2 linked regions of the Styela clava genome follow. The protein of the gene in region 2 interacts with the protein of the main gene of each other region in a pairwise test. Links are inferred from orthologs where the notes say so. Each region holds a gene or a part of one and is shown on either strand. Other genes may lie near its edges.

Region 1 (8,217 bases), on a different chromosome or scaffold from region 2:
TTGAAAAAATAATAATCCCTATTTTATGCCTAAATGGCTAATAATTCTCACATATATTAATCTCTATTAGGATCAGATCATGCTTGTTTCGGTAGAAGCCCAATCCAAAGAAATTTAGGGTTAGTAAAAGTAGCAAGAATTTTAACGAATTCAATAACTCCGAAAGCCGAAAAAAAAAGTTAAAGAACAGTTGTATATCGTTAACTGCTGTCACCGTCTTGCCGTTTCTCTCCCTCACACATATGTCACCCAAATTAGTGACCATGACTCTTTTTTGAAGTGCAGCATCTGAAAACACGCTCTGACATCAGGCTTAATAGTGCTAAAATGAATATGCGCATTATGGGTGCGCATTATGTCCAGAGAAAATTGATAAATATACGATATGAAATTGGCAAATATCAACTCACCATTGGGAACAGAGCAGTTTGTAATCTGTGGATTCTGATATAATCCTTGCAACATGATCGTCTGTAAAATTGAAAATAACAATAATTACTAAGCAGTTAGACATTGTTAAAATGAAGCCATTGGAAATGAATTAAATGAATATAAAAAATGAATCTGGAAATCACCCTATATATATATATATATATATATATAAACGGTTCATTCCTAGTCAAAGTAAGATTCATGATATCATTTACTGAAACCTATAAAATTAGATGAGGATAAATATCATTCATAAAAATTAAATACCTGGCTGAAAGTGGGTTTGTTGTGAAGTCTTGAACAACGATCTCCATGACGACAAGCTCCAATCTTGAAGTAGAAAGAACAATTTACCCTGAAAATAGAAAAAAAAAACAGAATCAGCAATGAAAAAATTACAAAATCAAGTTTAAAATTTCTTTTGCGTTTGAAGAGGTCGAGTTTATTTTTTACAAACAATTACAAATTTCAAAACAGCTATAAGCATGCGCTATATGTTGCGATTCATACAAAAGGCATACAGAATTGCGCTCAAGCCAGAATTTTGAATCTGGACTAAGTTAGATTAATCAGAATACAAAAGGGATTCCATTATTCAAATTTAATTACAGTGGTGTGGCACATCGTGCTAAGAGTTAGGAATACGATCACCACTGCACCTTTAATTACACTGCGGGTTCGCAGGTTCGAATTTCATGCGAGTATAATTATGTGCAAAAGGATTGCTGGACTCCTCGCCGCCAGGGATGTTCAGGTAACGTAACTGCTGGTCGGTTACGGCTTCCTCCACCATCAAGTCCATGCTTCTTGACTTTGAAGGCATCAGTTATTATTTTTATTTCACAATCACGATGTAATGCATTTTTCGCTAAACCACTGTGGAAAATATTGTCATAGCATTGACAAATAAGTTTGCAATTGGACAAGTATGGTAGTCAACTAATGAATCAATTGACTAAAATTCCTTGAGGATAATGGGGTTTTTCTTAATATTGCAACTAATACCGTTACATTTCGATATTCAGTCTTGAGGATAATTCAAATCTCTGAAAGGCTTTCAAATATATATATTTTTATGTGTGCTATGGTGGCGAATATTTCACATCTTTTTAGAAAAGTTGGCACTCAGCTACACAACTTGAGCCTCGCCATACCTAAGCGCGACATTACAGCATCAAGCATTGCTTTTGTATTTTGTTAAACGATGCATTTCGAATTTCGTTTAAATACCGGCCAGTCTGGATTTCATGGCCTTTTTGAACGAGAAATCGGGCGTGCAATCAGAAATTCCCGCGTGCAAATAAGAATTCCTGGCGTGCAATTATAGCTCACGACGTGCAAAACAACTGCACTCGCGTGCAACTGACTTTGACATCAGATACCTCTCAATAAATCCGCGTAAAATTACCGGTATCGGATAAAAAATACGTTGAATCAGAGAAAAAAAATGGACGTTTGACCTTTGACCCCAAACATTATTTCTACAGTTTGTCGCTAATTTTGAGAGTGTTTGTGCGACTTTGGATACCGGTACTGTTCAGTACATCCGCGTAAAATTATTGGATAAAAATTACGTTGAACCAGAGCAAAATGGACATACTTTGTCATTAATTTTGGTAGTGTTTTTACGTAGAATTAATGGATAAAAAATACGTCAAATTAGAGCAAAATGGACGTTTGACCTTTGACCCCAAACATTATTTTCATACTTTGTCACTAATTTTGGGAGTGTTTGAGCAACTTTAGATACCGGTACTGTTCAGTACATTCGTGTAAAATTATTGTATGAAAAATACGCTGAATCAGAGCCGTACTTGGCCATTGGTGCGGAGGCGATCTTTTCGTCCATAACTATTCTCACGGGATTCCTATTTCCTATCATTCAACACGATATGGACCTTTCCCCGAGCATCGACTTCCTTGTTTACTTCGTGACATTGGCCAATCAGCAAGATGCAAAAAAGGACGTAACAATGAGAAGAATTTTTCGCGGGTCAAAGGTTGGGGAAAGGTCCATGGTCTTTTTGCTTCGCAATATTTCGATCAGACCAAATCTTGCAGGCTGGTATTTGTCGACAATTGTGGAGTTATAATATTTTGGCATCTTTATATTACTGGATTATTGATTTTAAAACCATTTAAACCGATTTACATTGGTGAGCAATTGCAAATTTTCGGCGTGCAAAATTGATTTCGCTCGCGTGCATTTTTGCGGAGCGCTAGCGCCCTCGGGCGTGCACCTGCCATGGAATCCAGTCTGGCATGTAACCGGACAAGAGGCACTTCTGCACTTGGTTCGACATATGATTAAGCGGTCTTTCATCTCACCCGAGATAAATATGTAAATCGTATTTCAACTGCAATTTCTATTGTAGACCACAAGAGGAAATCAAATATCCAATCAGTACCGGTACCGGTACGCTATTGAATGTTTTAGAGTTCCTGAATACAGAAACATAAATTGAAAATAAGTAACTCACTTGTCTTTTTCTGTCCCAAAAATCGAGGCCAGATACTCCGCCATGTTTGCGATGGGATACTGATATATTGACGAACCTCTTGCGTCGAAATATTACTCAATGACAAAATCAGCAAATAGTCCAAATACAGAAATACCGTACCACAGCCAACTCGCAAGACCTCCAATCACAAACACACGCAGTGAAAATTTCTTGACGTTTCTCGTTGGTTCAGCGTTTATTATCACTAGTGGGCGTAGGTGCTCGAATGAAGTGATCGGAGTCAAGTTTTGTAGGCGCCAAATCCTTTCGGATAAATGAAACAAATTAATTTGATACATTTCTATTGCCATTAGCATTATAAAAATATTCTTATCCGCACGAAAAATAATTTTATCCGTAAAATGTTTCAGAAGCTTGGCGAACGCTTGAATTCAACAAAAATTTGCACGTGAAAATAATATGTAGCGTAGCTATTTTGGGGTGAATTTTTCAGTAATCACCAGTTTATTTTGACCCTACCGAAATACATTTTATGAATAAACAATAAAAATGAAGTAATTTGCTACCTCAGGGTAAAGGGAGGCGCGAGACATCATTACTGGTTATCGTGCAGCGACACCATTATCTTCCACATAACTTTACACTTAACTATTCGATCGCATTATTGTCAATCAAGCATACGAGTATTTTTCTATTTTCACTACATTCTAAAACAGTGGTTCCTAAACTTTTTAAGCCGCGCCTCCCTTCGAAAAATTTTACAAACTTCGCGCCCCCCCCTCTTTTTGCTTCGAAAAAATGCTTTTGTGATGGACAAGTTGTTATATATCAAGATGGCGCTATAACAGAGTGTTGGTCTCATAGCGTCACTGTCGTATGTATAAAGCCAAATAGTGATTGGCCATCATACATTCTTGTTTTTCCGCTCAGTTTGCAATACTTGGCAAAGTCAAACTAATTATTAAGTAAAACTAAACAAGCAATAAACCAATGCTTTAAATATTTTCTGCTTAAGCGTTTACATAAGACACGTAAAATTTCAATTAATTGTTGTCGCTAAGGCGTTTGCGATTGCATTTTGTTTAAATCTCCATTGTTTACGTCAGCGTGGCGTGGTATTTGAGCCCTAAAAATCTTGAATTCAGTGTCTATTCTTTCTAAATCCAAAATTTCCCTCGACATATTCTTGTGAAGCGAAGACGATTATAATTACTTTTTTTGTTCTCGAATGGAACCATGTCACCTATGAGGAAAACGGGTTAGTTTTTATTATAATCATCAGCGACGAGATGCTAAAGATAGAAGAAAGAAGTGAATCCGTAACTAAAAATTTCTTTATTGTAAAAGTGGCATTATAAAAAGAAAAAAAAAAACGAAAAACGCCATGAGTTTTGTTTTGGGGTGGACCGCGACAGATTAAAAACACTTTCTTAGACATTGAAAATCTCATTAATTCCTTGTGCGTGCGGCACACCAGTAGTGTTCTAAAACTACAGACTTGATATAAATTTTACTTCGTGGGATCGCAGACTTAGGAATATCTATAACGGTGATATCTTGAAATTAATCGAGTGGCGGCATTGCGATAGAGCGAAGTAAGAGTTGCAGGGACAGCTCATATTGGTGAAATTGGCAAGAATACAAATCAAAACAAAATGTAATCGACATTTCTATGATTGCGGATTACCGTGTTATTTTGGAGTACTGGCGCTTTTATTTTATCGACGCAATCGCAGATTCAATTTATTAGAATTGAATGAATAAAGCAACCATTTTAAATAAGTATATCGGTCATGGATTGAATATTTTATTCAACAGAAAAACCATTACATTACCGTTGAAAAAGTCGACTCTTTCAACGACTGGCGTAACCTCGAGGACTGACTCAGAAGCCGTACCGCAGGGATTTCGTTTCGATGAATATGTATTTTTTATCTACTAATATACTTTACATGTATTTTAATTGTACTATATTAAATATACTTTCTGAGATATTATACCAGATCTTTCTAATGACGACAACGAATTCCCATGAGTGCAATATATATAAAAACTAAATATAACCGGGCAGTTGATTATACTTAATTATGTCCGCGGATTGGCGTGGTATTTTAGATAAGTAATGAGTTTATTTTGTCGTGAGTCGCCGCAACCGCGAGTTACCTTGAACACAAATGAATTAAAATAGAGAGACATTTTGAATTATTGTAGTTATTACGAGACAGAAAAATTCATTATAACACGAAAAAGTCGGTATTTTGAACGAACGCGGAGACCGTTTCAGGAGCCGTAACATGTAAATTTCCGATTCCATCTGGTGAGCATCTCGCGCCCCCCAGTTTAATAGCCACTGTTCTACAATAAATCATCACCGTTTTGAATACCAAACTTTTGTTTGCGACCTTGCTTGCGCCATCCTAGTTGATATGGTTTAGGTAATTATAATACATTATTATATATTTCTTTTTTTAAATTTTTAGATATCTGATGAATGTATACAGTACGTAATATTACATATTACATGTTTTTTTACTTTGTTAATTTAAATCGGAATATTGTGTTTTTATATATCATTTTAATTAAGTGATGATTAATTGATATCACAATTTGTCGTATGCCAGGCCAATGAGTCAAAAAGAATCTTTCCGGTATAATCGTCAATGGTTTGAACATTTGACTGATTTATCTTGATACTACTTACTTTTGGTGTGTTTACGTATGGTTCACTGCATCGTGATTATTGGCTGATTACTTGATTACTTCTTGTTATGGTTAACTGTCTAGAGCTTTAGTCTGTCTTTAGATCTGTTCTCATAAGCTTGTTAATGGTGCTATAGTCATTGGGTATGAATATTCTATTTCTTAAGTTTCTTACATTGGGATAATCTGTTCTGACAAAGCCTCATTTAAATGTAAGTGAATTGGTATATTCTTGCTTTGTATTGTGCCTGGTTGCCTGTACTCATTTTAATATTCATCTTTATTGTTTGTCAGGTCACTTTGTCTTACTGATATCTGGATTAAATCACTTTGGGAGAAATCTATTCGTTTCATTTCGGGATATTAGTTAAAGAGACATAGTAGGCAAGGGTGATTTGTCAATGGGCAGAAATCCAAATTAGTGACATTTAATGATACTGCACCTACACCTACAAACTGGAGTCTGAATCAAGCAGTTCTTCTTCAACCTTTCGAGGATTCAGCAATACATCAAAGCAAGAATGCCAACTAACAATGGCAGAATATTTTCAAGGTCAGAATTTCAAACAACTCAAGAGTAAGTTTCCGGTACTCAAAGTAAATTTGGAAAGAATTTTAACACGATTTGAGCACTCTCTGGAAAGAAGAGATTTTGAAAAGGTCAAAATACTGTTTCATGATGCTAACGATAAAATAGCATTTTTGGTCTGTCTAATTGATACTATGGAATTGGCTCTAATTGAAGAAGACAGTACTACACAAAGTGAGGAAAAACCCGTTATATCTAAATTTAGTGAAGAAATTTTACGTGTGGAAAACAAGATTGCAATCGATTTTGAGAAATATGAAGACAAACTAGATATAAAGCCGGTGATATCATCTCTTGTAACCGCTCAAAACAATTATAATAATGATCCTCCTATGATTAAGTTATGTGGTATGGATCCGCCATGCTGGAACGGACAAAAAGTAGACTTTTATACCTGGAAAGAACGTTTTACACATATAATGCACCATGCTAGAATTACGGATGATTTAGTGCAAATTTCATGGCTTATACGCAATGGTGCAATGCCAAACGATTATCAAACAATGATATGTGACTGTAAATCAATTTCAAGTGCATGGGAACGCCTGGAAGAGCGTATTCCTAAATCAGTAGTTCAACGTGAAGTAATCAAGCAATACGAGCAAATAAAACCTTTATATAAGACCTCTCGTAATCCAGCGAACCTTAGGCGACTAGCTCACGAAATTTCTCTCTTCTGCCGACGTATGGAAGATCTTGGGTTAAAACAGGATGCAAACTCGGTTATTTCTGTCAATAGAGCATTAGAGTGTCTAGATGCAGACACTGCACTGCGATATAATAGTTCCAGCAAAGGTAATCATAACTTGGAATCTATAACGAATTTTCTGAGATCTGAAGCTACAGCATTGGAAATATCTGGTAACTTTATCAGTCAAACCGAGAATATGAGGTTTCGACCGAGACAAAACCAGTCGCCAAGATCTAATTTCAATACGGTTAATCATGCTACAGACGAGAATGATAACATGGGTTCAGTTCAGCCACGTCAAAGGACAGTCACTTGTATTTTTGGATGTGGAATTCAGCACCGCCTTATAGACTGCAACAAATATCAAAACCTATCAATTCCTGAAAGAAAAAACTTTATAGCAGATGATCGAAGATGTTTTATATGTCTAGGAACTCACTTTGCAAGAAATTGTGCGAGAACAACAGCCAATAGCTGTGTAAATTGTAACCAAAGACAGCATCATTGGTCATTATGTCCCGGAAAAGTACAAGGAAATTACAATACAATGAGAAATTCTGGTATGAACGACTCGAATTTGGAAAGTCAACATATTCACTCTAATGCAGCAGTATTCAACCAATCTCAGATGCATTCAAGACAATTGAGCGCTTTTAATTTGGATTATTCTCCATTACTTGTTGCAGAAGTGCAGGCGAGTGACAAAACATGGATCCAGGCAAATTTCTTTCTTGATGGTGGCAGTAACCATTCTTTGGTAAGACGTAATTTTGTAAAATCATTGAAACAAAAGGCAGTAGGACATGGAACAATTCGGTTTGGTGTCGCAGGAGGAGCCATTCATGAAGAACCTTCTGAAGATTATAATTTGAAAATTAGACCTCTTTCACGAGACCAGATATTTGATATCAGAGTTACGGCTGTGAGAAAACCTTGTCACGATGTTACACCAATTCCGCCATCTATTTTTAAACAGTTTGAATATCTAAGAGGAATTCAGGATAAAATACCAGTTGGGCAAAAAACAGTCGATGTTCTTGTTGGTAGAGATTATGCACCTTTAATTCAAACAATGCATTCATTACGTTCGCCAATTGATCCCGATAATCATCCTTCAGCAGCTTTCACATCTCTTGGATGCTATCTATATGGAGGCATTATTCAAGCACCGCAACGATCTTTCAATCATGTAGCAAATATTAATAGTTTTTCATCATTAGAAAATGAAGAGTTGCGCAAGTTTTTCCATGGTGAAGTTCTTGGAGTGCAACCCACAACTTTGTGTGTTTGTTCTAACTCAGAAATTGCAGAATCAGCATTTATCAAACATGTAAAAGCGACAA
Region 2 (8,082 bases):
TAAAATTCCGATAAATATCGTTATGATATGCAGAATTGAGTTACAAAAGTACTAGTATGTTACTTATTTGTCAACTTAATACTCGAAAATATTTGAAAACTTTGAATTTTTATTCCATTCAAAATCGGAAAAAAGTGCTTTTTCTCTTCAAAATCGGAAAAAAGTGCTATTTCGCAGTCCCTAAAAAAAGTTGCGAAAGTGTTTCGCAATTTTCGCAAAAAAGTGCGCTAATAGTGAACACTGTATGAGAGACTTAACAAATTTGACTACGGTAATTCTACATAATTTCAATACAACATAATATTACCTTATGTAGAGAATCTTGTACGACAGTTGAAACAACACCTGGCAGATGAACAGAAGGTGTTTCTGAAGATCCTGGCAGTGGTTTGTAGTCACTTGGTCGTCGAATTTTCAATGATTGACCCATGAAATTTATACCATCAAAAGCAAGAGCCTTAAATAGAAACAATACTCCAGCTTGATATCTACTTGGCAATAAGTATTAATAGCTGATGGTAAGTTTTGCATCACACTATCTGGTGATATAGAACCAGGGATGTCCAAAACGAATCAAATATCGAATACAATATCTCAACCGTAACAAACAACACAGAGAAAACAATGTCTTTTATATTTATGTTGTTTTAGATATTTCATGTAATTTTTCACATGCACTTGCCCCAATGTAGAATGTAAACAATACTTCAAATTCGAAAACGTTTTCTCATAATGTATTTAAAATAGAAAAATATTCGGCTTTGGCCATCCTTGTAGCCTATAGAATAAAGTCTGGTATACTGTTGTGGTGTAATATTACATTTTTTTTCAACATATAAAGCAGTTAAGCAAATAGAAATGGCAGCGAGTTGAGAAATGGTACACAATATCGCATTCAGACATATTATAGCAATTGGACTTCTGTCCTGTTTATTTATCTAGCGGTGAATTATATCAAATCTCTTTCTAAAAATCTTTATATCTACTTATATATATACTTATATCTGTTTATATATCTAACAGTAATAATATATCAAGATTTGAAAAATTTCTGTATTTACCTGTGTAGTTTCATCCACAGATCTGAACTCTAGGAAAGCAAAATTTTTGTCAAGGTTTATCTGAACAGCTAATACAGGGTTTCCGGGCGCTTGTGCAAGACCAGACATTTTCATTTGTTGATTGAAAAAATCCATCATGGCATCCTCTGTCACCCCAAAAGGTATGTTACCAACATATAATCTCCGAGCTTGGAACAAGTAGAAAGGCTGAAAAACAGTAAAACAATACATCCGTGTATAAATTGCTTCACTATAAATCCATTCAATTCATGAAACAGGTAAAATTACCCACACAAACCTGACGAGTCATCTGTGTCCCCGGTAGAGGTGCCGCTGGACCAGTAGGTGTCCCAGTGCCAAGACTTGGAGTTGTAGCCATAAGAGGGATCTGTCCAGCTGCTTGCATGGCCTTGTATTGAAGTGGGGTGAGGTGTTCAAACCCAGATGGTGCCACGTCCCAATATTTGTATTGTTTCTTTTTCTTTGTAGCTGTAGTTGGTTTTTCCTTGCTTCGAGATCGACTGCGTCGCTTTCTATTCTCTCTTGACCTCGATCGCCTGTTGGGTTAAAAAAAATTTGGGGTCGCTGCAATTTAGAAAACAAGAATAATAAATCTTTGTAATATAATAAATATGCCTACAATAGCCATGGACCGAAAAGCCAAATCACTTGGCACAAAATAAACTGCATTATTAGGAACTTGAAATTCTATTAGAATATAATCAATCAGAAAATTATATTATTTTAAATATAAAAAAAAAATCCATTCTATAAAAATATTTTATAATAAAATCTTACTTACTTTGATACTTACTCCATATCTGATAATAAAAAAGTCAATAAACTACATGAATTTAAAAAAATTACTAAATATTATTTATCATACAGATAAAACTTGAATTTAATCCAATCACGAATCATATTTATATATCAATATGACCTGCAGAGTTGGTTATTATGCTTATGATCTGAGATTGTTGAAAGACATTTGGAAATGAATTCAAATTCAGCCATCCTCGCATACACAGTACCTTCGACGTTTTTCTCTGCTTTTGCTTCTTCTTTTCCTATCTCTATCACGATCCCGATCTCTGCTGCGTCTCCGGTCATGATCTCTATCACGTGACCTGTCTCTCCTCTTACGATCACGCCTGTCTTCATTGCCACCTTGTGGTTTTATATCTTCTCCATATCCTTGATTATTTCCAGGTGGATAACCACCATTTTCATATGAATCAGGACCAGCCTCTTGCTGAAAATAATGTAAATAATTTTATCAAAAACCTTTTTTGAATGTTTGATTAGGTCTTGTCTCATTCTACCGAAATTAGAAATCAATCAAGCATGCCTGATCAGATGAAAGAATTGCGACACACTATTGCTTCTCATTTTTGGCTCCCTAAAGAAAAACTATGGTTGTACCAGTTGGTAAAAGCAAAGGAATATTTTCAGCAATATCAAACACTGAAACTTGAATTATTATACAAATGTATGGATAAAATGTAATTTACATGATTTATAAGCTTAAGAATTGATATTTTAATAACTGAATAATTATTTCATGTATTGTTTAACGTTAAGTTACCACTTCATTGATCATCATGCATTCATGTGTACAGTACGGTACCGTATGCTTGTATGACGTGGAGGCAAAATTGCAGTACCGTATTTTCACTATAACAATTATATTATGCATAATTATTTCAATTCAGATACTCAAACAAATTAACGTACGTTATGGAATTAAAATATAATTGCCAGCCTAGAGCAGTCAGGCAGCAGAGAACAAACCGGAATACCGGTACGGTATACTACCTTCATAAAGGCCTGTTGGTTCTGGTCCATATTGTACTTCCTGAACCTCCAATTTCGACAATACAATTAAAAATCAGGTACGAAAAATTTAAATTCACTGAGGTTTCTAATGTATCACGAATTATTCACCCACAGACGGCTGACGAGCAGTACAGAACAATTGCAGACGCAAATATGTCAGACTCGAGGAAAGGAACTACAAGTCACGTGATTATTCCTCATCACTAGAGGCGATAGTGACACATAGACTATATGAAAATGGATACTTACTTATAGGCCGCGAGCCGAGGCAGTTTATCTTTCAGTTTCGTAGCGCACAAAAGTGAACTACCTGAAAATGATTTTAAAATGTTCCTTAAAAATTTGCTAACAAATAATGACTTGTTCCCATTTCCAAAAGTTGCACGCTTTACGGAAAAGACGCTTTAGCTTTTACTACAAGAAATATGCGCTATGATCTGTCCTATATTCTCTGCTTTTCCGGTATCATGGACCAATGAACGCAGACTTCTGTATGATGTAACAATTAAATTGGTCAGCTGTAGGTGGATCCCCCATGGTCGGATGGATATCACTTTCAATACGGTAGTTTTTTCAGTTAATATTACTTGATTTCTTCTAAGAAAGTGTTAAGAAGGATGATAAGTGAGCTATTAAAATAAAACAATTTTTTTTTTGACTTTTTTCGATAACAAGAAATCTTTCCTACCCGTTTTAAGGTATTATAATGTATGTTTAGCAGTTTTTTTTTAAATAAAAACGTGTTATTTATACATGAATGAATATCGGTTATTACATTTTTATATTTGAAAATCTCTAATTTATTATTTTGTTTTTGATAAATGAAAATAAAAAACACCCCCCCCCCTCCAAAAAAAAATAGGCCCTAGTGGTATTTATCGAAAAAACATTGAAATAAGACACCGTTCTTTTTTCCGGGAAAACACGGTAGTACAATGGTTCCCAACCTTTTTACCCGCCGGCGATAAAATTAAATTAAATGTACTCGCGGACCGGCAAGAAATTGAAATGACCGGAACAGAAAAGAATAACATATATTTGCATAATATATTGCAATGTCAGGCGCTCAATATGCTTCTAGCCAAAAAGGCACACTTAAAAACTTTCACACGAAGAAAAACTATCAAATAATGTGCCGGCCAAAAATTGAAATGAGTGAAACATAAAATAATACTATGTATTTGCGTAATGAAATGCAGTGCTGAGCACCCATTATGAATAAGAAAGGCAAGCATAAAACATCTCACATAAAAAACATGTACATACCAAATCATGTGCAAACGCAATTAACTGAGAATTTTGCTGCTGTTTGCTCCGTTTCCAATATAGGATAGCAAACGAGGCCTCAAAGAAGTTTTCGCAACACGTAGCTCTGAGATCCCCAAAACAGCGCTCTTACTCCATAGTGACACCTTGTGTCCCATCACTAATTAATTAATAACTTGCTAATTATACAATGTAATTCATCCAAAACCAATAGGCTTCTGGTTCGACATATGATGAATGCACAATCTGGAGCAGATTCAATATTGCTTTAGTGAGATATTGCATGCATCTAACAGACAGACAGACAGACAGACAGACAGACAAATACCTATCAACTTACTTACCGATTAAAATCGATAAGTAACAACGAAATTTCTCGCGGACCGGCAAAAAAGCTTCGCGGACCGACACCGGTCCGCGGACAGCCGGTTGGGAACCACTGACTTAGTATGTGCTGTGTGTGAAATATGTAAACAACATATTGAAACCTTATTACCTTTATTACTTATCGATTTTAATCGGTAAGTATGTTGATAGGTATTTGTCTGTCTGTCTGTCTGTCTGTCTGTCTGTCTGTCTGTCTGTCTGTCTGTCTGTCTGTCTGTCTGTCTGTCTGTCTGTCTGTCTGTCTGTCTGTCTGTCTGTTAGATGCACGCGATATCTCACGAGTTACCACATTTTTGTGATCTCGAAGCGGGACCCCCCAAAGACCATATCTGTGATTTTTGCTCCTTTAAATTTTACATTGGGGGCCTATATTTAAAACCATTCCAACCGTCTTCATTGACCATATTGTAATCGAAAGTTCATGCGCTGTCTGTCTAATTATCGGTTTCAGTTCGAAAAATAGAAATAAATTTACGTTAACGTTAAGCCCCCTTTTGGCGTACGATGCTTACACGTAACAAAATGTAGCAATTATCCGTAATGTAACAAAACAACGGAACAAACAAAACCACGCACGCATCTTCAGTAAGAAGGCTAACGGTACGCTACACAGCAACAACAGTGTCAATAACATTATAATTTGTATTGTTCGTGTTTTATGCTGACTGGTTGAACGCCAAAGCGGGACATTTGGCTGACCTGTCGGGATACCGGGACAAGACGTTGAAAAGTGGGACTGTCCCGCCTAAAGCGGGACGTATGGTAAGCCTAGTTATGCATAGAGTTATCTGGAATGATGTTGTTATGTATTGCTATGATGTATTGTTTGTTGATTGATATTGTTTATTACAATATTGTTTTATTTTATTGCAATATTGTATTATTTTATGAAAATCCAATAAAAAAGAAAAATATTTTTTTGAAAAAAACGGTGAAATAAGTAAATGTTATGGCAGTTGGTACAATGTATGCATATTGAATCCGGATATGGCCTCGTTCTTTTGGTTTCATATCAAACGCAAAGTTGTCATTGTGAAGTCACCGTTAACATCTTGCTGATTAGATAATGTTGCGAAAGTAGTCAAGTAAGTCGATTCTCGTAGAAACACCTGTACTTCAGTATACAGACAAAACGCCAGATTTAGCCTTTAGATTTAGTCTCATTCGAAATCCTAAATTGTCAGTATATCAAATTTAACCTGCGTATATTATGACCTCATCGCAGTAGTAGTGAACATTTATTATTATTAATACAAATATTTTTCTAGTTTCATGGTATATATGAATGGAATTAAAATTTCACCATGCGATTCTGTAATCTGAATACCATCGTTTGCAAGCAGTTCCCCGAATCCCCACGTTGACCAATGATAGTTGGACCCACAAATGATGCGATGAAGAAACTGGACAGAATGGCGAGAGCAAACAAAAAATCGATTGTGCAAAATTGAGAACGCGGTGGTGAGTAGAATAATTTATCATTGATTAGTGTAATAAATATACTGTAGTTATTGTTGCTGAGGACTGTTCAAAACAAGTCGCAAAGTCTCCATAAAATTAAAAAAAAAATCGAATTTATGAAAACATTTCAAGATAGGAATGTCGTAACATAGCGGTAATCTTTGCATTAAATTGATGATCCCGAATTGCGCAAAAACATATTTGAAAAACCTGTAACTTCGAACAACATAAACCTCTCCGCTTATATAGGAACTGGCAGCAAACTTACATCTTAGTTAGTTCAGTGTTAGGACTAGAGGCAACGTCAAACATCCCCCCTCCTCTTTTATTTTTAATTCGCAGAAGAAAAAAAACTATGGTTTCCCAAACGTCGAATTATTTTTCTGTTACTCTTGGTGAACTGCGCCGCATTCGGGCTTGCGAAAAAACAATTGGGCTTAACTCCAGGTTCGTTTTTGGATGACCCTTGGTTCTTGTTATCAATTCCAACAATCAAAGTGATTGGCGCAGGTCTGACTTTCTGAAGCTCAATCTCAACTACAATGATATTGTTTTGGGAACTAGGTCGTTTGCCAAATCCAACGTCATCATATTCATTGTTTTTACTTTCATTAGCATCTTCATATAAAAATGTGCCCTTAAAAACACACACAAATTTAATACGATTTTCTGCTAAGATTCTACACTCCCTTACATTTACAATTCTTTTTCTAGATCGCTGAAAAGACAAATAGGAAATCTGAATCAATCTAAAAGACTTCTCTACTATGATGAACCATGATTCACCAGCCTAACGCGAACACCGGAGACCGCAAGCAGTAGGTAATAATACAGCGGAACTTTGGATGAAATATCAGATCTCGTCGGATTCATATAAAAATTTAGGAATAAATAATAGTAATAGCCATCGAACGAATAATATAATCTTTAACCACTGAAAATTTCAAAGCAATTGGTTCAGTATAGTTAACGATTTTTTCATACGGTAACAACAAGAAGAAGCGGTAACAACAACATAATAACAAAATGATCCACGATCAATTTTGATTGCAAAAATTTATATTCTAATTGTGAGTCAGACAATGAAAACTATATATAGCGAAGCAGCTTCTTATACATTTTATATAATTAGGTTTTCTGGTTTTACTGACACAACATCAGAACTCAACTTGACGAAAATAACCGAGTTTTGGACAATTCGCATCATCAAATCAAACTTCGTTTGGCTACTCGGTTACAGAACACTTGAACATTAGTCCAATTAATTTAGATTGAGAAACGACAAACTGGACAATGACAGAACAATACTTTAATAATATCTGCTGTGGTGTATGGAATTGCGCAACAGATCGCTCCAGAACATTATTAAAACAACATAGGCTACGTACATTTACATTTCGAGTACCCTACTTGGATACCTGTCGCTCCGCATCGACACAGTGAAAAAAAAATTCCGCGTAAAATACCGAATCAATCAAAAGATGAAGATATTCCGTCAACTTCTAGTGCGACAGAAGTTTTTGTATCAAGTATATCTAATGTTTTTGTTACTTTTCTGGATTTGCGTCTGGCATGACAACACCAAGTGTTAGGAGTAACGATACCACAATTGTTACAACCGTTCCTAGACCCGTTAATCCGGCGTCCTTGGCTGGTGTTGTTTATCCTAATAGTCAACAACCAAATATATGTTATGGAAATATTCCGTATCAAATGTATTGTCAGAATTATTATTCTTATTTTCATAGTAACTTCTTATGGTTTCTGCGCAAAACCCATTTTACTAGGGGTTCCAACAGCCCACCCTAACATCAATTTATCCAACAAATTTCTGTACAATTTGTACCGGGTTATATAGAGGGACCTAGTCCTGATATTCCACAGGAAATTTACGATAGAGCTCATTCAGCATCAAAAATGCGTAAGCGTAGTATCAAAGTTTTCATGATGGTGATGACCTGAACAATTTCGCAATTTGATTCAAATCAAGTACGTCCCATACCAGAGCTAAAGATAACCACGCAAAGGTAATTTGATTATATAGCTTTATTGATGCAAAGATTATTGGCCA

What was found.
Region 1: the proteins of splicing factor U2AF 50 kDa subunit-like (region 2) and splicing factor U2AF 35 kDa subunit-like interact in binary tests that used the Drosophila melanogaster proteins (3 or more experiments, as listed by UniProt). The link is inferred for Styela clava from reciprocal best matches to the Drosophila melanogaster genes U2af50 and U2af38.

The regions. Positions count from the first base shown.
Region 1 is NC_135253.1:21,304,570-21,312,786, reverse strand, and holds the start of splicing factor U2AF 35 kDa subunit-like, read right to left. Parts: upstream 3,107-8,217; 5' UTR 2,957-3,106; coding exon 2,913-2,956; intron 788-2,912; coding exon 700-787; intron 472-699; coding exon 411-471; intron 1-410. Other genes in the region: uncharacterized protein LOC120344621, read left to right, coding at 6,129-8,217. UniProt on the Drosophila melanogaster protein: Necessary for the splicing of pre-mRNA. Binds to the polypyrimidine tract of introns early during spliceosome assembly.
Region 2 is NC_135261.1:11,542,774-11,550,855, reverse strand, and holds the start of splicing factor U2AF 50 kDa subunit-like, read right to left. Parts: upstream 3,059-8,082; 5' UTR 2,907-3,058; coding exon 2,877-2,906; intron 2,314-2,876; coding exon 2,093-2,313; intron 1,619-2,092; coding exon 1,354-1,618; intron 1,269-1,353; coding exon 1,062-1,268; intron 458-1,061; coding exon 308-457; intron 1-307. UniProt on the Drosophila melanogaster protein: Necessary for the splicing of pre-mRNA. Binds to the polypyrimidine tract of introns early during spliceosome assembly.